Linked DNA regions of Arabidopsis thaliana. The protein of the gene in region 2 interacts with the protein of the main gene of each other region in a pairwise test. Each region holds a gene or a part of one and is shown on either strand. Other genes may lie near its edges.

Region 1 (5,467 bases), on a different chromosome or scaffold from region 2:
GTGAACAAAGTCGCCGTGATTTTCGGGCAACCGTTGAAACGCGACAAAGTTTTCATCATTGGAGAGGCTGGACAAGTCCGAGATGTTGATCTCGGAGAACCTGCCCACCAAGATAGTTGGCTATATGTGTGTCCTTATGTTCCAAGTTTAGTGAAAATCAAGCAACCTCCAGGATGCAAAAGGAGAAGACAAAGCAGTTCAGAAAACCGTCGATATAAGCGAAACATGATGAGACTTGTCGAACTTGAAAAGTATCATATTGCCATGGAACCCAAAAGAGGAGACAAAACAATATGAGAGTTTTGCAGCAATTATGAAATCGATTGATGTGCAGGAAAAAACTGGCAAAGTGAGAAAACGAGATGATTAAAATTATTCATCCCTTTCATTTCTATTTTACGTTACTTAGATGAATAAAAAAGAGAAATTTAAAGAGTTTTTTCATCCACTAAAATAGAGATGAATAAGTTGGAGAGGAATAACACATTATTCAGTGCAACTGATTAATCAATGATCATAATGAACTTTTACTTGTTACTTGTTATAAAGCCATTATTGTCTTTTTACAAACGAACCAGAGTTGTTTTGTTTGCAGCTTTATCAGATACATAGATTGGTTTTGTAAGCCGAATCAAGTAATGATCGTCTTATTTGGTAAACAAGAAACTAAGAATAAAAAGACTTAATTAAAACGTCTGATTCGATGCAGAAACAAGCAGCAAGTTAAGAACAGACATAATTCGTGATTATGACATATAAAAGAGTTCGCTCCTCTAATCCTTCGCGTCAGCAATGCCTCCTTGAGTAATCTGGAAACTGTGATTTCTTCAGTTAAGGAAAAAAATGAAGTCATTGCATTATATGAAATAATCAAAAACAAAGCAAGTGTGTGTGTGTGGATTTGGTTAAAAGGATATGGCTTCAGCTTCAGCGAGATTCGGAGCATCGTAGACTTTGCAGACACGTGTATCGCCTTTGCCTTTCCTGAACAAGAGCCTGATGGTGGCTGCGTGAGCTAGTACATGACCACCTGCTGGCTTTTTTGGGTCTGATATGAACATTCCACCACCTGGGTCAGCTATGACTGCAAACCACCAAATGAAACAGATGATACTTGCTAAGTTAGTGCAACCAAGAAACAAAAAAAGAATTGATGCTTTATCTCATTATATCAAACTAGTGTAAAGTAAACCTTGGTTAGTCATGTAGACAGCAACGTTGAACTCCTCTGCAATTTTGATTAGCCTGGAAAGCATCTGAGCTAGTTTTTGCTGCAACACAGAAACTGGGACTATTGAGCAAAGCCAGATTGTGCCAATGATAATGTAAGTAATGTTGTGGGAGGCAAGTTTAACCTGGCGGTCTGCGAGTTCTCCTCTTCCAGTGAAATCCACTCGGAATAAAGCAATGATCGAGTCAACAATCTGGAAACAAGGTCAGAAAACTCAGCTAATTTAACTCATATTTGAATGGATAACTAAACTAAAATTATCAGACATGTTTTACTTACCAGAATCCTAAATGGTTCCTCAGACATTTTTGCAGCAAGGCCAAGAAGCAAGTTGTACTGATGCTCATAGGTATAAGCACGAGCATAAATGATCTGTTATATCAAGATGAATAAGATTTTTGAATGTCAGTCACAGTCCTGAGAGTAAGTAAAGATGTGAGGTTAATAATGCTTACATTGTCAAGCACAGCTCCTGGATCCATTCCAAATCTTTCAGCAATTGGGACAATCCTATCAGGACGGCTACAAAATTTAGGGGTTAAGGAAAAATCATGGAATATAGAAACAATCTAATGAAGACACAAGATCTGGTCAGAAGATTTGTTATAAGATATTAAGGATACAAGGTTCCCTCTGTGTCAATGTATGCCACTTTTCCATTCCCTCCTTTCATGTTTGTAGGTAGCTGTAATACATCAATACAGAAAATGAATACCAATGACATTGAGAGACAGAGTACCTCAATGGTTTATATGCTGAAAGAAAGTAAAATCTCATCTCATGCCTCTGAAATGTAAACAAGACAACATATATTTCATATTGAGACTGTAGGAAAGAAACCAACCTGCGTAGTGACACAAAGGGTATGTGCTAATTGGGTTTTCCCAGACCTGAAGTGAAATTAAACTCTATAAGAATACAAGCTATTAACAGGAAACTTATAGAGCTTGGCTCAGCTGTTTCTCACCTAAATTCCCCAAAAGCCTCTGTGATGGCTGAGGTTTCAATTCCACCTAGCAAGAAATGTGAAATAATTAAACCAGAACTTAAGTAGTGTGATCAAGATGGCAAAAATCTAAAGCAAAACTTAGCATACCTCCTAAGAGATCATCGAGAGCTTGACACCCTGTAGTGATTTTTACAACTGATTTCCTCTGTAAACAATTAAAAAACAACTTGTAAGTTTCAATATCTAATATGAAATGTTGAATAGGATATCAAAATCTAATAGTTCTGTTAGTGGGATCAAGCAACAATGAGTCTAACCTTTATAAGAGCATCACTTCCAGTCATATATCCAAAGTTCTGAAGGAGAAATGGTTTGACAATTAAAATGACGCAAATGCAGAAAGTAACACTGATATAGCAACAACAGATGGAAACGTTAAACTTACCACAATTTTCTCAGCAGCTTCACAGATTTTGTCAACTTTGGCCTCAGATAAACCTTTGATTCCAGTAAGGTTCTGCATCAAACATAAGTTTAAACAATCGACTCATGCAACCAACATCTACATAGTATAAACCCAATGAGCAAAGCTAAATAAGCTGGTTAATACCTTCTTGGTATGCATCATGAGACCATTGCAGGTATGGATCCCAGCTTCTTGTAGCTTTTTCACATCTCCTGCGTTTATACCTTGTGCGATCACTGACACAAGCAAAAATAAAAGTCCCGAGATCAAATCAGCTAGAGATTTTAGCCAGATACAGAAATCAAACAACTATGTACACTAATATACACTCGAATTCCACAAACAGTAAACGAAATGGACCATAAACTATTCGTTACCAAGGAGAACCATGTTCAGAAATCAATATCGATCCTAGATTCATACTTAAATTCGAAATCTAACAGAGATTGCGAGAACATTCCTCAAATTAGATGAACGATTCTAGATCTGATTTCATAAGACCCAGCGATTAAGCAACAACGAGGTTTAGATAAACAAAAGTGGGCGAAATTAGAAGAGATAAACACACAGAGACGATTCCAAAACAGATGATGAAGATTTGAAACGAAAAAGTGAAGAATCGTAAAAGTTGAAAACGAATTCAAATCTTACATTTGTCAATCATCTCAAATAGATCTTCGTCTTCATCATTTTCTTCACGCTCAACGAGCTGCATCTGGCTCGTTTCTTCAGCTCTATGAATCCGAAACAACACAAACAGATCAGGATCATCGGAAAACAAAATAAAAACGAGAAGAAGCGAGTCAGGTACACAAAACTTAAGACAAAGCTTAAACCAAAACGATGAATGGAGAAGAAGAAGAAGAATCGTAGTAGAGAGAAAGAGAGAGATCAATCACTTACTTAAGAGAAGCCATCATTTTCTCGCTCTAAGAGTCTCTAAGCTTGGAAGAGTGAGAGAGATAGAATTTTGAAATTCGAAATTTGAAAATCTTTGCTCGATTTGCTTCGAGGGTTCAAGGTTTTTAATGGCGGGTTACGGAATTGAAAGCGTGATTCTAATTCCGTTGATTTGAATTTGGGTTCCGCAACTGAATTTGTTTTCGTTTGTGTGCTCTTCTTTGTTATACATGACTTTGTTTGATGGCTGCGATAATGCCACGTCATAGTTATCATCCGTCTATCGACGGTCAATAGAAGGAATCTAGGTGAAAAAAAGAGAATATTACACTCTTAAACACTTTTTTAAAACTATTTCTGTGTTTAGGCACTTTCAAAAGATTAGGCACTTTTTTATGTTTTTTTACTAAAATACCCTCTTAACTAAAATATTATCTTAACCCACGTTTTCTCTCTTTCTCTCTCTCTCTTCATCTCTCTCTTTCTCTCTCTCTCTCTCTTCATCTCTCTCTCTCTCTTCACCTCTCTCTCTCTTCATCTTTGTAAAAAATGAGAAGAAACTTCTTCTTCTTCAACAATGGCGGTTTGATTTGATTTTTGCTCTCTCTCATGTGTCAAACTCGTTTCATCTACGTAGCATCGAGATTTCAGTTAATCGAATCTCCTGTTATCATGGACATGTTATATAAAATGGATATAGATCAGTAAAAAGGTTTCCGAATGGATATATTTAAATGGATTCGTTATTATGGACACCAAAAAATTGTTTGTTGATTTTTTTTTCAGTTTGCAGAGACCTCCACCTTCAAAACCTTATGGACATGGAACTTTGGTTTCTTTACAAAACACGGTTAATCGAATCTCCTATTATTATTGACATGGTATATAGAATGGATACGGATCAGTAGAAAGGTTTCTGAATGGATATATTTAAATGGATTTGTTATTATGGATACCAAAAAATTATTTGTAGCAAATCAACCGCATATAGCTTGTTTTTAGGATGTTAGACATGCTTCTCCAATTCTTCATCTTTTACTCTTAACATGTAAGACCAAAAGATTTACAAATCTCACCATATCAATCCATAATATACAATCCATGATGCGTCATCCATAATATGTCATCCATGATTCATCATCCATAATGTGCCATCCATAATTTGCCATCCATAATGGACATCACCAATAACAAACGCCGTAAGAGCTACAAACACATCCTTAGCCACCAATGAAGATTTACCAAACACAAATAATTCCAATGAACAAGATTTCAACAAGAACACAAATTCTTTTTAAGAAAACACAAATAACCCTAGTCATACAGAATTACTCGCCAAATCAATGAGAACACAAATGCCTTGTAATAAATCACAAATAACCCTAATCATCTAGAATTAGTCGCCAAATCTTACTTAAATTAGATCCATCTTGATATCTCTTCTAATCTATGTTGTATGCTTAGTTGTTTCCTATTGATTCCCAACTTGATTAAAAACGAAATCACCAAACATAGCCAAAGAATTCGCCAGAACTCCATGACACTCTTCCGTAGCCAAAGAATCGTTCATCATAAACAAACAATCAAATTTTTTTAATCCATGGAAAGAAATCACAAACCTGTCCAACACAAGGAGATCCTCCTTCGTCTAGAGTAACCATAGGAAAAACCTCCATTTACTACTATTATCATGTTCATGAGGAAAGTTGTGTGGATTAAAGAACTTCACAGAGAATAATCGATTAATTTCATGAGAAACGATTTTCAACATCTCTCTGCTTCGTTTTTAAACTACTATGGATTTATGAAAAAACGATCTTCAGGAAGGAGAAAGGGAGAAACGATTGTTTTTTTAGAGAGAGAGATTTAGTTCTAGAGACGAAGAGAAATACCTTTTTCTAATCAGATTTTAACATCAAAA
Region 2 (8,024 bases):
GTATGATTTATCTTCAGCATGAAGGTGATTTACAAGCACCGATTATAAATAGGACTCTTTGCCGAAGTTCATGGATGACCTGAAAATTGAGCAAACCAAGAAGGCTTAATACAATAGAACAATCTTTTTGAACCGAATACTTATAGAAAGAGGAAGTCGACGAGAACGAACGGATTTGGAAGAATAGAGCTTAGCCCATGTTTGGATATGGGCACTGCGGGTTTTAAGGTGAGAAGAGTAGGCAGCTTCTGCGTTTATGAAGTAGACTGAGTTCTCTGTTGTCTCAGCAACCCACATTTCGTTTGTCGCATCCTTTGCTCTTTTAATTAGATTGCAAAATCCGACCTGCCAAAAATTAAGCCCACAAAGCATATATTTTTCAAACAATAATTTCTCGGTGCATATTCTCTCAGTGTAAAACTAGACAAATATTAGAATTTGTACATACCACGGATCCAACCAAATTATGGCTGATGTGGGAAACAGAGCTATCATCCATGAATGGGGTGCTGAAGCTTATAGCAAGAAGACTGTTTGAGATTTCCCCTGAATGTTGTGTGGATCCATCTGTCACAAACACCCACTGCTTCTTTTGTAGAACATCTGTGTATGCATCTCCAACATATACAACGTACGCAGCGATATCAAATTCACTGAAGGACATAATTAGAGATGATAGAGTATAGATTAGCAAAGTGCGGTAAATAGTGTTTTATAAAAAGCTTGGACTACTGAGATTAACCTTGACAGAGGAATTTCACCAAGATTTGACAAAGAGATTGGTTTACGAGGGTTGAAAAAAGGCCTGAAAACATCATCAGGGAAATTGAACAAATTAATGAGATAGATTCCAGTGTCTACTAAAGAAAACCACTTACTGAAAATTTTCAGAATCTTTTGGAGACAAAGGCTGCCATCTTGAGCTTGACCCTCTGGCATGTAAGTAAAGTGTTTCTGAATCTGAGTTCATTGGTACTAGCCCTTTCATTATGTATATTTTCCCCTCCGTCAGCTCGGTTCTCTGTCACAGTAGTAGACAATGATAACTGTTTTAAGAATCTACAAGAAAAAAGTTGAACAAGCTAATCGATGATGCTCTTAATGCAACAGTACAGTGATGGTAACGATTTTTTGATATGCATTTCAGTCCATTCGAGGTCCACAGCAACTCTGACGAGCTTATATTTGGAACTCCCCGTTCCATATAAGCTCATATGGATAAGGTTCGTGTAAACTTATAAGCCATTAGAAAAATGCCTTCTTTTAAATTGTGCATGAAACATTCAGATTTAGGCATTTGAATGTACCTGTCTCTCCGTGGGATCCCAGATTGTTACAATGCCTTCTTTTGGATTGTGCTCTCCTTCATTACTTAAGCTCGTCAGGCCAACAAGCCTAATCCTCATGAATGGGGTGACGTTCCTTTCACCTAAACCAGCGTCTTCCAGAGCTTTTGCCACTGATTTTTCCATCTGCATTTGCTTGGCTGCCTGAGGTTCAGATTGAAGCAGTTAATTACTGTAATCAATATATCAAGAAAAGGGAATTACTATTCTACCTCAAATTTTGCTTTATATGTAGTGAAAGATGTCAACTGCTCTAGGCTCATTTCAGCCATAAGAAGTTCAGGTTCAGCAGCCGTCTCTAACAGCTTAAAGACCTTGGCTCCTTCTTCGCTGTCAGTATCGTTTTGGCTGTGAACACCATTAATTCCTCTCTGGTACTCACACATAATACCCTCAACAAGAGCTGAGCGCCTACGGAAAATAGAAAAAGAAAGAAAGAAAAGTACGAATGAGAATAAACCATGAGGAACTGCAATCTTTGGCTCTTCTGTTGGCAAAACCATCCATATTCAGAAGGCCAGAAGCTTTTCTAATAAATACAAAGATTCTTTGTCTGTCCCAAAAACTACTTAGAACCCTAATATTGGTGTATGTAACAAATGTCTCTAGCTTTGATGAGTTAATCTGACACTTCTTAGAAAGTGATGTGCTAAATTGATCACATAAATGTTACTAAAAATTGCTACTCTACAGTTATAAGGAAACTTGCCTCTGATTATGCAGCTGTATAATTCTACTTTCTATTCTCTCTGATCGAACTATTGACTTCTTTTCACCTAACCTGTATACATCAAGAAAATATAATGCTTTGCGAGAAGTATAAGGAAGACCAAAGTGCATTAACAGGCACACATTTATATTGACCTTTCCTTGTATAGGATGGGGTATATTCGTGTGATGCCAGCTAGCGTTTTAGGCACTGGACCCCCATTGCACTTGATACAGTTGAAAGCCAGAGGGACACCAATTTCTTTACCTTGAGGAAGAGATTAAGAACGATCAATAGAAAGATAATAATATGAAAGCAATAAGAACTCAGATGATGTAGTGAGGTCCACAGCATAAAGCTACTTACAGAAGCCTAGTCGGTCCGCCCAGTGAGCTCTGTATGTCCCATTAATATTCAACAACAAACAGATTGTACTTGAAATCACTGCCTGAAAGTTTGGTTGAACGAAACTCTAAGAACAAACCAACCTGAGAAGATATCAGAAAATCTTATAAAATGCAAAGTCTAGGAAACCTCAAGTGGTGATGTTGGGGTAGCCCAGCCAGAAAGTCCTGCCCCGAGGATCTTCAGATAAGAGATAAGAACGTAAGCATGCTGCAAGTCAGTGATCTAACCAAAATCTGTGTTGCAAAACAAAGTATATCTTGCATGAATATAACTTACTCGAAGCTTCTGCCCCACAAACAATTTGCCAGCATTCAGCTGCTTGGTTAGCACGACATCCAGAGCAGCATTCATCGAGTACCTGTGATTTAAAAAAAAATCCTATGGAAATGAGACAAGAAAACAGGTAACAGAACAGCAGTAGCAATTTCATACCACCCATCAGTGAGTTCGACTTTCACATTGCTGCAATTATCAGAACAATGTGCTTCCTGAGAACCATTATCGGTCCTTGGATTAATAGCTGATATGCAGAGGACCATCATTGAAGAAGCTGGAGCATCACCACTCAGAATCCTCTTGATTGCAGAGCAATGACCATGATTGACCTCTCTCTCATATCTATTAAGAAGATTAACCATGTTAGACTTTGCATGAGTTTAAGTAACGAGTTGTGTTGTGAGACTGGGAAACCTGTATTTTAGTTCCTCAAGAACATTGGTGATTGTTAGAAAGTTTCCTCTGCATTTGGCTGGGTAGTATATGTCGTAGCATGCAAGTTTCCAGACTATCCACCTGTAGTGATTAGTAACCCACCTAGTGCATATGTAGTGATAGATAAGTTAATAGATATAGACATCAAACTGTCTATCTAATAGAGTGACAATCACATGCAAGCTTCAAACGAACAGTCACACACTTTTTCTGATATAATAAACATATAACACGGTTAACATTTCAAGGGACAGAGAAAGTACTTTCTGGATGCATGTTGTAAGGAAGCACCCGACTCAGCCAACATTTGAAGAAAAGTTTCAGCTCCAACCTTGTTTGAAGAAGACTCATCACAGAATACATATTTATCTGCATTACTTGATTTGATTCTTCTGACATGGTCTGGCACATAATCCATCTAAAACCACCTCGTAAATGTGTTTGAGTGAATGAAGAAAAAATTTATGTAACGCAGGAACAGGTGAAAGGGACAAAAAGATTTTACCCTGGTCGTAGCTGTCGGATGCATTCCAAAAAACTCCTTGATATATACTCTTGGAGACTTTTCTGGATATCTTGTAGAAAGTACCTTTTTGGAAGTAAGTGTATCACACGATACAACAGACAAACCTGATAATAGACAGGACACCAAAATTATAAATCTGAGAACCAACCAATTAGATTAACAAAAAATTAAAATTAAAATTAATCGTATATATTACCACTTGAAGCTTGCTGAGCATTTTTCTTTAAAGGAGTTTTAAAGGATGAAATCCTTGGCCTTTTGAAAGGAGAAACGGAGACTGTCTTTCCCAGCCTTTTCTTTTGGGTACTGTCTTGTTTATTGTTTGCATAAGCTGTATCTCTGCGATTTGTTATATCAACAAGTGGCTGATCAGCAGGCCTTCCAAGTTGCCTAGCTCTTGGAATGAAACCGTTTCCCTTGGAATTATTCACTGCCATATCTGATGCTAAAGGCCTGTTATTTGATAGTCCATGTGTAGCAGGTTTACTGATATTCAGAGCACAATTGGTCTCATCAACAGCCGTATCAAATTTCTTGATCAAATTACCCCCTGAAGCTAGGTTCTCCAAGTTAACTGATCTAAATTGCTTTGAAGATGAATGAAGAGGAGATACAAAACTATTTGACGTATGTTTGTTGCTTGTCTTTTCTTCATGAGCAATATAACCTGTGTTGACACTTCCATTGTTTATAGCAATATCACTTAGCCTTTCATCTTTCTGTGGTGTAAAAAATTGATCACCTCCAGCTACATCATCAAAGAAAGACCCTAACTCAGGGTCACCAAGAAGGTTTCTGGCACGTTTCAACGCCTCAGCTGACACTGACAATGATTTTCCACCAGCAGTCTGAAACTTTGTTGGAGGCACCTTTAACGATGGATTTAAGATTTCAGATCTCTTCCCAGATACATAATTCTCATATTGTCCTGGAGTTCCTGAATGATGCTTAACCACTGTAGCATCAAACTCCTCATGAGTTTTTAAACCGGACCACCCATGTTGCTGGAGGGAAGAAGACGACTGGTTCACATGGTTAAATCCATTCAAATCATCTTCTTCTAGTCCTAACAATGCCTTGGCTCTTGCTAAACCGGCAGAAGATACATTAACCTTTTTGTTGGAAGCTGTCTGAAAAAGACTGTTGGGAACACCAAACCCACTCTCCCTGGGAAGAACGTTGTCTACACAATCAAAAAGAATCTTATTAACAAATAAACTATGAAAAAATGTCACTTCTAATATTTATTCTCTAAACGAAGTAAGATGTGTGTTGATTAGTTCTTCACTATTCATCGTTTTATCTGATAACAACCAAACTCAAGAAACCTGGAAGTTGAACGGAGTAGCAGCACAAACAACAAGTTCATATGTAAATGCGCACACAGCTGGATATAAGACTTAAAAAAAGAGGAGATAAGAACACACCTGAGTCAATTATCATATCACTTCCTAGAATAGACAAAGGTTTGGCAATTGAAGACTCTTTCAAAGGGACAGTTTTCCCCAAGGCCGTCCTGAACATTGGCATAGTTTCAGCTGTATCCACTTGTCTCGTTTGGGGAATTGAGCAATTTGTGTTCTGCAAATCTAAAAGTGTAGCCAAGAACATGGAACATTCAAAAGATTTTCAGGAACACATATTCACCAACATTAAGTAACAATTCAAGCGAATTCAGAAACAAATGACTAGTCAAGGGAATTCAATACTGTCACATAAAATACCTGAATAAGCAACATTCTCTGCTAAAATGGATTTGGCTTTAGCAATCGAAGACTCTTTAAGAACTACAGACTTCCCCAGCCCAGTCCTGAACATTGGGATTTCCCCAGGCATCGATTCTTCCCGTTCTATAAGCTTCGAGCATCCTTGAAGCATCAAATAATAATTCAATCTCCTTTGAGTCACATGACAAACACGATTCGACAAAGAAAAGGAAGATACGAAGAATCACCTTGGAGCAAGAGATCGGCCATGGAAGGTAGAGGAGCTGTCGATTCGAGCGCCTTGGTTGGCGTAGAATCCGAGACGGACTGAAGAATCCGGCCAGCGACTTCCCACCGGAAACCATCGCCGCTGGAATCGGAAAATAAATGCCACGTCGACATTTATTCAGTTCTAGGGTTTCCAAGTTTTCCGATTCGTCGTTATATGATTCAGCCGGAGAACTAAACCTCGCGATTCAGAATTGCCTACCACGCCAAGAGGGAGGAGTCGGGAGTGCGGAATTTTTATTTTTATTGTTTTATTTTCTTTCCCCAAACCAAAATCATCACCAAAAATCCAAAAAGTTAAAAGTTCTGACAAAGGCGGGAAAGTTGAAAAAGATTTGGGCCGAAATTATGAGACGCGTGGTTTTATTTTAACTTTGGGCTTGGTTTTTACGGACATAGCGTTCCAAGACAAGTGTGATATTGCCACGGCCTTTTATTGCGGTAACTAACGGCACGAATGCTAACCCGAAATCGTTCCAAACAATAATTGCTTACGTGGACATTTTAAAACATCTGTTCAATGTGATTGGTGACTGACTTCAATGAAAATTACATTGCAACAATGGTCAAGTATCACAGAAAATTACATTGCAACAATCTCCACCTTCAAATCTCTAAACACGCCAGATTCTGAGAACTATAATTTACACGGGGGAAGCCGCTGAGGAGGCAGAGGGTGCTACAGAGGGGATCGCGGGAACACCGATGAATGAGAGGAATCCGGAGGCGGCATGATCTTGTTCGTCGAGGAAGAGATCATCGGGAGCTCTAAAGGCGCCATGGACACAGATTGTTGCTATTCCGATCATGAGAGCGGATATCAATACAGATCCGACGCTTGTGAAGAAGATCACTGCGATCGTGGAGAGGATTAGGCCACCGAGAGTTTCGTATTCGGAGAAAGATCGGCCGAAGAGGATAAGAGGACGATCTGATGGACGGAAGAGGTAGAGGAAGAGCCAGGAAGCGGCGAGACATAGGAGGAGGATGAGAGAGAATGGGTGGGCGAGAAGAGAGAAACCAAGGATCAGAGCGACAATGCAAACGTAATTCACCCTGAAATAAGAGGAATTTTTCCGGAATCGCGTCCCGGCCTCGGAGAGAGAGTCAGGCTTTGTGAAAGCGGATCGATCGAGGAGCTCTGACCACGGACGGCTACGAGATAGACCACCACAGACCGTCTCGGTCACACCGTTGACAAATGCACGGACGACTGGAGGTTGCGATTCCACCACAGCGGTTACAATCGGAGGCTGATTGGTGGTGTCTGTTGCGGTGGTGGAAATTGGAAGAACAGGGGGATTTGTTGACACCATTCGATTTTGTTCTTTTGGGATTTTGAGATTGGAAAATTTTAGGAGACGAATGATTTAGAGGTTGCTGAAGTTGCGGTAGTGTTATGTATATATAGGATCACAATTACGCGTCTTTCAACTTTGATTATACACCTTGCTTCATCTGATAGCTAATCTATATTCATTTGCTAAAATAAAAATAAAAATAACCTCCTGATATTATAACTCAGGTTATTTTTTTGCTTAACGTAGTTTATACAATAATTCTTGATTACTTAGGCAAAGTGCATTTGACCATTAATGTTCCAGTCACAGGAAGTTTCCCTAATAGAAAATATTTTTAACACAATGTTGATCTGTCATATGGAGTAGTAGACTTGACAATGTCAAATCCTTTTTTCTTTGATAACATTCATCTTCGAATTCTAAACATAATTATATCTAACGAGTAGACAAAGACTAAATAACCATTGTTTACCCTGATAGTAAGTTGTAGCATCATATATAGCATAAATGTTATTTCTTAATGCAACTCCATCAAACCTTAGATATGTTTACAATACGAAGTAGTTCAAAGTTACTTGATCGATGAGAGTAGATCATACATTTCAAGACAATCACACTAATCACCTACCACGGAATTAAAGAGTCGCCCCGTTCCAACCAAAGAAGGATCCCTGCAAGAAGAACCACACGAGAAAAGAAATGTATAATTGATATATCAGGTGGTTATAGGCATAAACACTCCAGATGATGGATGACCCTCTAAGCCAGTTAGACAACGGATTTAGAGAAGTTGAACGAATCTCCTAAATAACTCAACAGTGTGGGTGTAAAGATTGAATTCGAGTAGTGGAACGGTTTATGCATTTGATTTAATTGTTTATAATGCCTAGTTTATGAGTAAAAGTTATAGGTCCGTCTTATGATGATGAACTTACACACATAAGATGTATTTGTTCCCTATTCATGACCTAGTAGTGCTGGTGTAAAGCGTGTAAACATTGTGCATATTCTTGACTTTGATGGTCCTAG

What was found. Proteins that work in one complex are often made in the same cells at the same time.
Region 1: the proteins of BRCA2B (region 2) and DMC1 interact in binary tests that used the Arabidopsis thaliana proteins (3 or more experiments, as listed by UniProt).

The regions. Positions count from the first base shown.
Region 1 is NC_003074.8:8,097,175-8,102,641, forward strand, and holds DMC1 (DNA repair (Rad51) family protein), read right to left. Parts: upstream 3,759-5,467; 5' UTR 3,567-3,758; coding exon 3,550-3,566; intron 3,381-3,549; coding exon 3,298-3,380; intron 2,883-3,297; coding exon 2,791-2,882; intron 2,698-2,790; coding exon 2,626-2,697; intron 2,537-2,625; coding exon 2,498-2,536; intron 2,386-2,497; coding exon 2,328-2,385; intron 2,245-2,327; coding exon 2,199-2,244; intron 2,122-2,198; coding exon 2,076-2,121; intron 1,917-2,075; coding exon 1,855-1,916; intron 1,754-1,854; coding exon 1,687-1,753; intron 1,604-1,686; coding exon 1,511-1,603; intron 1,425-1,510; coding exon 1,356-1,424; intron 1,272-1,355; coding exon 1,193-1,271; intron 1,085-1,192; coding exon 918-1,084; coding exon of another isoform or gene 906-917; exon of another isoform or gene 865-905; intron 819-864; coding exon 774-818; 3' UTR 504-773; downstream 1-503. Other genes in the region: AT3G22870 (F-box and associated interaction domains-containing protein), read left to right, coding at 1-297. UniProt on the Arabidopsis thaliana protein: May participate in meiotic recombination, specifically in homologous strand assimilation, which is required for the resolution of meiotic double-strand breaks. Mediates interhomolog recombination during meiosis.
Region 2 is NC_003076.8:235,104-243,127, forward strand, and holds the start of BRCA2B (BRCA2-like B), read right to left. Parts: upstream 6,004-8,024; 5' UTR 5,809-6,003; coding exon 5,655-5,808; intron 5,569-5,654; coding exon 5,425-5,568; intron 5,290-5,424; coding exon 5,128-5,289; intron 4,884-5,127; coding exon 3,897-4,883; intron 3,805-3,896; coding exon 3,680-3,804; intron 3,593-3,679; coding exon 3,438-3,592; intron 3,277-3,437; coding exon 3,154-3,276; intron 3,082-3,153; coding exon 2,896-3,081; intron 2,822-2,895; coding exon 2,740-2,821; intron 2,641-2,739; coding exon 2,590-2,640; intron 2,504-2,589; coding exon 2,422-2,503; intron 2,323-2,421; coding exon 2,211-2,322; intron 2,128-2,210; coding exon 2,056-2,127; intron 1,758-2,055; coding exon 1,559-1,757; intron 1,491-1,558; coding exon 1,308-1,490; intron 1,022-1,307; coding exon 879-1,021; intron 806-878; coding exon 743-805; intron 654-742; coding exon 449-653; intron 346-448; coding exon 172-345; intron 80-171; and 2 more. Other genes in the region: PRA1.B5 (prenylated RAB acceptor 1.B5), read right to left, coding at 6,339-7,010; AT5G01650 (Tautomerase/MIF superfamily protein), read right to left, coding at 7,964-8,020. UniProt on the Arabidopsis thaliana protein: Involved in double-strand break repair and/or homologous recombination by mediating RAD51- and DMC1-facilitated DNA repair. Plays an essential role in both somatic and meiotic homologous recombination.